Linked DNA regions of Schizosaccharomyces pombe. The main gene of each other region encodes a partner of the protein of the gene in region 2 in a complex. Each region holds a gene or a part of one and is shown on either strand. Other genes may lie near its edges.

What was found. The genes of interacting proteins can lie anywhere in the genome.
Region 1: rav1 (region 2) and rav2 share a complex: the UniProt entries of both Schizosaccharomyces pombe proteins name them as parts of the RAVE complex.

The regions. Positions count from the first base shown.
Region 1 is NC_003423.3:1,861,041-1,864,986, forward strand, and holds rav2 (RAVE complex subunit Rav2), read right to left. Parts: upstream 2,108-3,946; 5' UTR 1,990-2,107; coding exon 1,126-1,989; 3' UTR 501-1,125; downstream 1-500. Other genes in the region: csc1 (FHA domain-containing protein), read right to left, coding at 1-59; trm141 (actin binding methyltransferase), read right to left, coding at 2,328-2,786, 2,859-3,146; protein tam8, read left to right, coding at 3,480-3,713; elongator complex subunit Elp6, read right to left, coding at 3,737-3,946. UniProt on the Schizosaccharomyces pombe protein: Component of the RAVE complex which is required for stable assembly of the vacuolar ATPase complex V-ATPase.
Region 2 is NC_003423.3:3,522,836-3,529,390, reverse strand, and holds rav1 (RAVE complex subunit Rav1), read right to left. Parts: upstream 4,856-6,555; 5' UTR 4,719-4,855; coding exon 4,632-4,718; exon of another isoform or gene 4,517-4,631; coding exon 710-4,516; 3' UTR 546-709; downstream 1-545. Other genes in the region: hht3 (histone H3 h3.3), read left to right, coding at 1-272; ubiquitin-conjugating enzyme Ubc15, read right to left, coding at 5,707-5,765, 5,836-6,061, 6,138-6,167, 6,246-6,389, 6,472-6,516. UniProt on the Schizosaccharomyces pombe protein: Component of the RAVE complex which is required for stable assembly of the vacuolar ATPase complex V-ATPase.

The DNA of each region.
Region 1 (3,946 bases), 1.7 Mb from region 2:
ACCAATTTCTTCGTTTGAAATGATTCATTTAATGGAGTCAATGTAATTACGGCAGACATACCATTCAGGGTGAAAGTTGAAACGTATCAAATGGGCGGATGTCGAAAGACGGTAGTAGAAGGAAATTGAATGTCGAGAGCGAAATTGTCCTTTTTAACCGTTGCGATCAAAATATACCACAAAAATCAAATGTTTAAAGGTGGAGTGATATTGAAAGACACAACGTTCAAGCCACCAAGGCGTGTGTGAGAATATAATTCATACTAGAATTATTCTCTTATGGAAATCTTGTGCATCTTCTGTCGCTTTAATACAATACAAATAATATTATATCTTCGTATAGTAATATTATAATTGCTTGAAAAGCATAAGAAGTTAATGTACATAAAAGCACTTTAAATTAACGATTAATGCAGCATAGTAACCTACTTTTCGGTTTCACCCATTTTAAGATAGTAATTCTCTCGTTTTATAATACATTGTGAAATACTTTCACGATTCTTGGTAAATTCATGCTTATAGTGTATCATGCATAAATTAGAAGTGTCATTATTTTATTCCTAAACTACATGGACAAAATGAATTGCAAATTGAAGCAAAGAGAAAGAAAATCTTCAATCGAATATTTAATCAGATAGGCTTAAAAGAAGTTGTTAATAACTTCTCCGTTGATGAAAAGCAAAGCTATAAGCTACAATAATGGGAATAGCTTTTCTCGCTCTCCACTACTATAGTTCATGTACAGTTGTTTCTTTTAAATGCATCATATATAGGTCGGAAAATTAGGACAGAAAACACATATATCGTAAGTAATGGATAATATATACACAAAGATAAATCTCAAAGAAATGGATGTTAACTTCAATAAACTTGACATATTGATTCGTATGTGGCATGCGGATATGAAGTAAGTAGAATGCAGTAAGGTTAAACGAATGAGATCCAAGAGAAAAAGCCAAATATGTAGATGAAATTCATAGAATACAAAGTTAATCATGCAATCAAGCGAAAAACTGAACATAGTTTCAAAACATAAAACCAGGGAGATTCCCAATATCAAACCATTTATAACTGCTTAGGCAATTGAACAGAGAGCAAATCAGTACTGCCACTGAAAAATTCAATTTATTTGGCACCATATAAAGAAGAAGAAATGGTTTTAAACCTATATGAAACGTCGTTAACCTTTTTTTGTAACGCTGAAAGTTTTGCCGTTACTGCCAGAAGAATTGGATCCTGAGAAAAAGCATCTATTCTTTGAGAAACAAAAGGTTTAAGCATTTCTATATCTACGGAATTTTTTGCAAAAGACTCTAAAACTTCATTGGGACCTGAAAGCCTAAATAAATGCAGGCAGACTGAAGCATTTGAAATGCTGAAGCTCAGAGCTAAATTAGAAGGAAGAGGAGGTGAAAATAAATGATTACGAACGGTCTTGTGTATTTGACGAGGAGAATGGTTAAGGCAACTAAAAGGGTTGCTTGTTCTGGAGACAATGGAATTTTGACTTTTTAGCGATATACTGCTGGCATTGGATGGGATCTCCTCTTTTTCAGATTCCTCTTGCATGATGGAATGAAGTAGACATACAATCGCATGCAAAATTTCCTGCAATTCCTTTATGGCACGTTCTGTATTATGTCGCAATCGGGGCAAGCAATATAAAGCGTAATGCATATAATTACTCAAGTTGAGTATTTGGTCCAAATGAATAATAGCAGAATCTTTCAGCTTTAAAACATGCGTAGTACGACCAACCTTCGCTGTGACATTGACACGAACTACGTTACTGCTGCTTCTTGAAACAATCCCTTTGACGGCGTCGGTTTTCGGAGACGTGAAAACTAGGACAGTTGGATCATCGGAAGAAATTAAATTCAATGCTTCCTTTAACCCTTCCGACATAGATTCCCAAAATTCCGGTAGCACATTAGTCTCCAACCACTCTTTTTCTTTAACGATAACAGAAGCATCAATTTCCGTTTGCATAATAAAATAGTTTACAAACGGGATTTATAAAGTAGATATGGTGTTATATCATTCCAAAAAAGTTGAAACAAAAATATTTAAAAGCAGCTAACGCTGAAGGTGGGTAGTAAGTAAAGTTATACTAGTCACTCGTTGATAACAATTAAATAGCATATGCGAGTGTAGTTTAAGAAAACAAAGATTTTCTATTTTTATTAATTAAATTATCAAAAAACTAAAGTTACTGTCATAAACCTTACAATAAAACTCAGGACTCATGTCTAAAACGGATTACATTAAAAGCCCTATATAAAAGAATAAAAAATACGCAAACAAAGAAACTTTTTCTACCAAAGTATTCACAGCTTTTTCCAAACTCCTTGTAAAAACGTACGCTTCATATTTAAGTTACGCTTTCGGTTGTCAACGGTGCGATTAACTCGATCTAATGTTACTAAGCCAAACCCGGCGCTTTTCATCCATTCAGCAATATCTTCTTCTCGAAAAAAAAGTGATAAAGTTCCATCCTGTCTAACGAACGTCTGTTCATCAATCATAGATGGGTCACCGCTTGTCATGAATTTCTCTTGAGCAAAATCGCCATCACAGTAATCACGAAACACCAAATGCCCTCCTGGCTTTATGACTGAAGCCAAGTTCTTAATAGAACGAAGCTGCTTCTCGCGTGGAATGGCAGATAATACAAAGATGGCAGTTAATGTATCAATGCAAGCAGAACCCAAAACTTCAAGCAAAGAATCTTCGGTTATATCATTAACAAAAGGAAAAACTCTATTTTCGTTATAACAGGAATGCTTCTAAATTAAGACAAAGGTTAGTAAATTAAATATTTCAGAGCAAATTGGCATAAATTTAGTAGCTCTCCTTACCTTCACAAAATCTATAGCACGAGGACTAAAATCACAGCAGTATATCTTCAAATTTGGTTGCACTTCTAGCAGAGGATAGACGAGGTTTCCAACACCGCATCCGACTTCAAGGATAGTCAATGGCAACTTATCGGGCAATCCAAAATAACAATCGAATTCACGATCAAGCCAGTGTCTATCTTTGAAAAACCTTGTTTCATTTCGCTTGTAAAACTTATCCCAAGACTTTTTCGACTCCTTTTTATATTTTTCAACCCAAAAATCACTTAATTTTGATATACCACTCATATCTCCTAACAATTTCGTAGCACGGTCTTCTATATGTATGAAAGATGTTTCAAAATATTACCCAACCCAGTAGTTATTCCAAAAAATGCGATAAAAAATTTGTATGACAACGATTTACCCTACAACCTTCAATGAATACCAAACTGGCTCGATCAATTTTTTTTAAATTAAAAAAGCACTATTTTAAATAAAAAAATAACCAAACCTAGTTCGTTAATTCCAAATTCACAAATCAATGCACACTGTGCAGAGAGCGTCTTGTTCTTCCTTGTAAACCTACACCTATACCAATTCGCGCGCACCTTGTGATACTCGCAACTCTACAAATATACAATGAATAGGACTTCAGAAAGTGTGGAACCTCAACAAAATGAAAAAACAGCAGTGCATTGGAGCAGAGAATGGGTTCCTGTTGTTGTAGATACATATTCTAATGAAGATGATGAGGATAATGAAGAAGGAGATGAATCCAGGCCTCAACGAACATTTTTAGTAAAACGGTGGGTGCAAGATAATGTACAAGTGGAAAAGAAGGGAGACGAAGAGACTGCAGCAGCAGATAATTGAGAAAAAGTAGATGAAGTAGGAATTTAGAGTTGCAGCGTCACCTGCCCTTTGGAATATACCTTAGCACCTGCTTCCGTTACCTCGTATAAAAGCTCCTTGTCATCATCCTCCGGGGTCTCGCATATTCCACTACGAAAGTGATTTGGCATTCGAGAAAGACGCAGGAATCCGGTGATTCGTCGAGCGCTACCGCTAGTCAAAGGCCGACAGGAAATACATCTAGTTGCCATGTG
Region 2 (6,555 bases):
TCGCTCTTCGTGAAATTCGTCGTTATCAAAAGTCTACTGAACTTTTGATTCGTAAGCTACCTTTCCAACGCTTGGTCCGTGAAATCGCCCAAGATTTCAAGACTGACTTGCGTTTCCAGTCTTCTGCCATTGGTGCTCTCCAAGAAGCTGTTGAGGCCTATCTTGTCTCTCTATTTGAAGACACTAACTTGTGTGCTATTCACGGAAAGCGTGTAACTATTCAACCCAAGGATATGCAATTGGCTCGTCGTCTTCGCGGTGAACGCTCATAAGCAACTTTACCAAATTGTGGTTGCCATCTGATGGTGTGATTTGGAATCTTTTGGTCGTCTATCCCATTGTAATCCTTCCCTCATTTACTTTGCCTTTCGAAACAAAATTTAACCTTGAGTGTTGTGGAATGTAACAAACGATATGCAAGTCTAATTTTTTGTTTCCGTGAGCTGCACTATCTATTTATATTTTTGTTTTCTTTTTTCGAGTTATACCGCGGACGTTTTTATTTTCGAAATGTATAGAAATTTTTAATTCTCTCTTTACGTCCTGCGCAATTGTGTAAATGAAACGCTGAGGAACTTCATCTGTATTCTTATATGCTATTTAATAGTAAATTAATTTTTAATATCATTATTGAAACACGATAAACTAAGGGTTGACCGTATTTGATTTTTTGTAGTATTTTTAAAAACTCGTATCGATAATTAATTAATTACTCGAAGCTGAACGCAGATTCATTAAATTCGGGGACATCGTCCGGTGTTGGCCGGATATCTTGTCCCATAAGAGTTTTTCCAAGTTTGGGGGAGTCGTGAGTTTTTTCCACTGCAGACTGCTTGTCAGTTACCATATAATCCTCAGTTTCAAGATGAGCAGTTGCAGGATTTTTTTGGAATTTCCAATTACGCAAAAGCCCAAGTGCTATTAGGTCACATCCTAATTGGCAATACACATTAGCATTATGCAAAACAAATCGATATTCAAGACTTTCATCAATTTGCACGTTGCTGGATCTTAAACATTCATATAACAAAATGAAGGCAGGATCATCAGACGGAAACTTATTTCGTACGGGTTCGTTAGTACTATTTCGTTGTGAATCTTTATTTTCGTGAATTTCTTGGTCGTTTTTATCGGATGTATAAAGTTGTATAAAGTCATTATCGCTGACCAGCGAGCGAATGGGAGATACCAAACTTTGCAAGGCCTTTTTTTCCTGTTTTAAAATAGTGAAACTCCAATTGGTGAGCCATCTATCGTTTTGAGATACAGCCAAAGGAAGTACATACTCGTTTATTAGCCTCTTTAAGGTCGGACCATCGTCGCCTTCATAGACTCGAGTCATTGCGATGGCTAATGAAATGCTTTTTAAATTACGGATACATACTTTTGCGGCATCATAGCAACTATCTGCCAAAAGAAAAAATGCAGAAGCATAAAAATATCTGTGCTTGCTTAAAAGTGCAAAAGCATTCTTGGATGCAACCACTTTCCACTTCTTTTTTGAAAAGTCATTCGAAAGCAACTTAACCGTTCGAGCTGATTCCTTATGCCAACTAGCAAGACGCCAAAGATCACGAAATACATTTATTTTGTGTAGAGCAATGTGATATAAACTAACATTCTCTGGGTTCCTATCGTCAATCTCAGCGTAATGATTGCGAGACAGCTCTAAAAATACATCTTTCAGTAGCTGCTCATTTAGCCAAAACGGTATCGCATATTCTTCAACAGCATTCCATAACAATGGTTTTCCATGAAGCTTTTTAGTGTGGTCCAACAGAACAGCTTTGTTAGAGCTATGAAAAGCCCACGCCATCTCTCGGGTGGGCAAGCTTGTTAATTGACGTTGATGTTTTGATAAAACGTACTGGTTTAGCATAATGCAATATCTTTTTCCGTTGAGGTCCAATGAATCTCGCAATGCTCTTGCCTTATTGAATGCCTCGATTAAATTAAGAAGTAAAAACTGAGATGATCGAGTGAGGGTTTTGACTTTCTTTACTTTTAATAATGCAGTCAACTTCTTTATCATTTCATCAATGTATAATCCTAAATGCTTTGAGACACTGGTCTCTTCAAAATCCAATTCCGCAGGATTTAGAATTTCCGCAGAATTTTGGCTGAGACTTTTTATTAAAAGGTCTTTAGAAATTTCTTCGTCACAGCAGTAAAACTCACTGCAGTCCATATTTAAGAGAAAATGCATATCTACATCATCTTTCAAACACAAGTAAAACCTTAGCAAAATATTAGTAAATAGAAAGGGTTGGTTTCTAAGTAAAAGCTGCTGCAACAATTGAGGATGAAAAACTGGTAAAATTCCATTAAGCTGGTATGCAAGATCAAAAATATTTTTTGCGGAACGTTTCAATGATGCAGGGAACAGTAAAGACTGATCTTCGGGAAGTGAATTATCAAAATAAAAAAGTCCGTTACCAATGGCAGTAACTAAAGTCCCATTATCCAACCAAGAAGAGTCAGATATTAATGAATTTGTATATTCTAAAAGATTGTATCTACGAATACGAGACCAACATGGAATATCGTTCATATAAGATCGGCGATTTTGGCACAAAAGAATAACATCATGTAGAAAGCCAACAGCCAAGATAGAATGGGAATTGGGAGTAGAAGTCCAATCCAAGTCATTTATTGGTCCATAATCATCAAAAACAGAGGAAAATTCTTCCTTTTCAGAGAATTCTGAACTACGCGTGTCGAAAATTGAAAGTCGACGATTGTTCTCAGATACAACAGCAACTTTCTTGGATGTTGAGCCTTTGATCATAGTTGCAGATTTGATGCTAGTTTGCACTTTGGAAATTTCCGATATTTCCGCTTTATCGTCTCCCAATACTCTTGCCATCCAAGTCTGTAATAAACCGTCTTTTGATATTGATTGAAATACCTCTTGATCAAATGAAGATAAACTGCTCAAATTTAAAGTAGAAGACCAACCCATGACATCTACAGCCGATGCGATATTTAAATTCTTTGTAAAATTTACCCGATCTATAAACCGAAGTACAGCAGAACCATCATGAGCTTCGTTAGAGACACTCCAAAACCAGGCATGGCCTCCTTCCGTCAAAGCACATAGGGCGGAATTATCGTTGTTTTGAACAGGAAGAATAAAGAAGGTTATTATCGGACTAGTAGGGACTTGACGACATGTACAGAGAAGGGTTGGAGGAATTGCTTCATTGCAATGCCATAATTTTAAAGAATTTAAGTTGAGTACTGCTGCATATTCACCAGCATAAAGAGGTAATATAAAGTCAGATTCTCCAAGTAATAATCTGAACCTGCAAATTAACTGATTTTTCCCGTCTTGCGATATGTATGATTGAAACATACAGATACGATTAACATCTCGGGATACAATTCCATGACCATTAGAGGTTCTTGTTAAGCTTTTTATGGGATAATCATGTCCATAAAAATCGTAACTAACTCTTAACTCAAAGTCACTATAAAAGAAATCGGTAAGACTAAACATGTATTCACGGGCGGAATTTTGAAAAAATAAAATGATGTTATAATCGTAAAATTCGTGTTTTGAGGTCCTGTAAATAGGTATAAATCCGTCAGGTTGAAGAGCGCCTTTGGGAAAGTTCGTTGGAACTTGATTAATAAGCTCAAAAGATGACAAAGTTTCCTGGTCAATTACTAGAGAAAATATGTACAAACATTCAAAAGTAAATAGCAAAAATATATGTGGTTGTCCACTGGCCAAAGCCAGAAGCCTATTTAAAATGCGATCCTTATGCACTTGACCAGAATGGCGACTTATAGCATGTGCTAATGCTATAGTAAAATCGTCCTTATCAATAAAACAGCAGTATGGTGGTTGATCAGATTTGTAGTATTTTCTCAAGTTAAGAAAACAAGAAAGATGCATTAATTGAGAACCAAATCGGCTACCAACTTGCCAAATTCTTAGAACGTTATCATAGCCTACCGTACTCAGGAAGGGAGTCGATCCACTGGCGTCCGGATGAAGGTGTTTAGACCATTGGGAAAACCTTACGCGACAAGGATGAACAAGATAGCTGAAATCATCACATGAGCTAACTGTACCTTGAGGAGATGTTCGCTGCCAAACTTTAGCAAGTGGATTTTTTGTTTCGATAGAAGCTATAAAACAAGCATCGGAAGAAATAGTGCTACTAAGGAATGAATCCGAGATTCTGTTCTGCGACCAAACCAACCTGGGTTTGTCTTCAGAGAAATTTATAAGTTTAGTGTATGACGAAGCACAAAGCAACAGATCAAAATTGTATCCCCAAGATAGTTGAGTAATATCTTCAGAAAGCTGAGTTATATAATTGTAATGATGAGTCCATTTCAAAGAATCGGCGGGCTTATAAATATCCAAAACTTGTCCATGTGCTATTGCTAGAAACCCCGTACGTTGGTCCAAAGCCACTGCACCAATAGACTCTCCAAATTGTATATTTTGATAAGATTCGTAGTTATTTACAATAATTAATACGGTATAGCGAGTTCCAAATGTCTACCATTTAGTTAAACAATTACTTCAATTGGAAACAATACTTTGACATGCTGCTTTCGTTCTGCAGTTTAACCACTAGCAGACAAACGCATATCGTTTGCGTCCATTCACTTACTAATATTCGATTTTGGTTCCATTGTACATTGTCGTAGGCAGCTGTACGTTTTAGAGGTGTACCGGGATTTGTGAATGCCAGAGGCATGTTTACTGCAGAACGCTGTGCATGAGCTAAAATTGGATTTTTTTCGACTTGCAAATAGTTAAGGGAGAAATGACAATGATAAAAGCTATTAATATCTGATTTGACCTAATAGCTGTCTACGTTCCATATACGCATTTGAACCAGTGTGAACACCACCATACTGCGGAATAGCGTAATATTAATTGTCATTCTGAAAAGTTTAAGCATAATGCAATAAAAAAACGCTAAATGAAAAGGCAATGCTTTCACGGTTCTTAATGCAATTTTAATATTCATCTTAAATGGTTACTCTGAGTATTTAATTTTCAAACTCAACGAAGTTTCGCTAGATTCTTTAATTGGTTTGATTAATCATTGAATCAGTCATTCGGATACGTAGGAGACATTGAGCTAGTTAGTGTAAAATATAATAGACTGAGATTTATCGCTGCATTCAATGTATGTTGTGCAAAACGCGGAATTGAAACCGTCGCTGATAAAGTATGAGCGTATAAGCGAAAATAATTACTTGAATAGAAAATTTTCAATGGAAAACTATCAATTCACGAAGTATTAGCTGACGTTTGTTCAAAGAAAAAAATTCAATCGTGAAATGTAGATTTTTATTTGTTGTTTATCTAAATTATGGCTGTAATTGGTAAAGAAGTAGGATAAATCACTTGCGGTTGTAACACTTGAAAAACTTGAAAGCTTTATAATAAAAACAGAAAAGAATCAAAAGCTGTTAGTTTTAAAATGTCAACCGTTCTGCCAATATTTCATTATATGTGATAATAAATGAACAGTTTGCTAAACTTATTCAAAAAATGGGCAACGGCAATACTTCAAAGATGGCATAAAATATGCAATTCAACTTGTAAAGCTACAGACTTTTTGAGTAAGCTTTACTGCTAGTTGACTTAGGAGGTTTTCTATGCAGCGACTTGAATTTCCTTCATAGCCTTTTTTCTAAATATAGGAAATTAGGGACCTAGGTTGAACATTATCTTCAAATCATTTCAATTGACCTGCGAACAAGTCGACGAACTCTTTTCTTAAATTCTTGTGCTGGAAAAAGTTAGTACGATTTGATTATTAAAGAGTAAATTTTTTTGTTTGTAGGTTAGTATATACTCACGATTTTCTCGAAATTCCTTGGCAGCATCTATATTGGCAGGGGACTCATCATTAGGGGAAGAAAGCATGGAAATTACACTAATCAATATGGTTTCCGGAGAGTGTACCGGAAGCCAACGTTCTCCAGCATCCTCGTATCCATACTTGTCATCTCCTGGTGGGTGAAGAATCGATATGCAAACTTCGCCATTCGGATGAACATTAGGGTGCCAAATTTCCGTTGTGAACTGTTACCGTTAGAATCGTTTTTAGGCATAGACTATGTAGTTTCTATCAATTAAAAAATCAATGTATTTACTATACCTTCATCTTTGGAGGCATCAGAGGATAATCCTAATTTTTCGAGGTTAGTGACCAGCTTGTTTACCTTATACAACAAATATTATTTTTCTGTGAAACATAAATACATACTTGAGGAAACGATAATGTTGCATGGAAAAAACCACCTTCATATAATGTATCTTCTGGTCCAATGATCATAACTTCCCATTCAAAAATGGATTTATCATCGACTAAACCAACGCTAAAACCCTGTGGAGGATTTTTTTGAATTTCCTATATCTATCAGTATGTGTTCAAGAATTAAGATACTATGTACAATCATGAATATTTGGATATGAAGATTTCGTGCGCTTACCTTTAGTTGTTTTCGAAGAAGTTGTTCACTAGCAGAAGAAGGCATACTTCCGATATTTTAATAATTACGTTCTAAATATTTGGT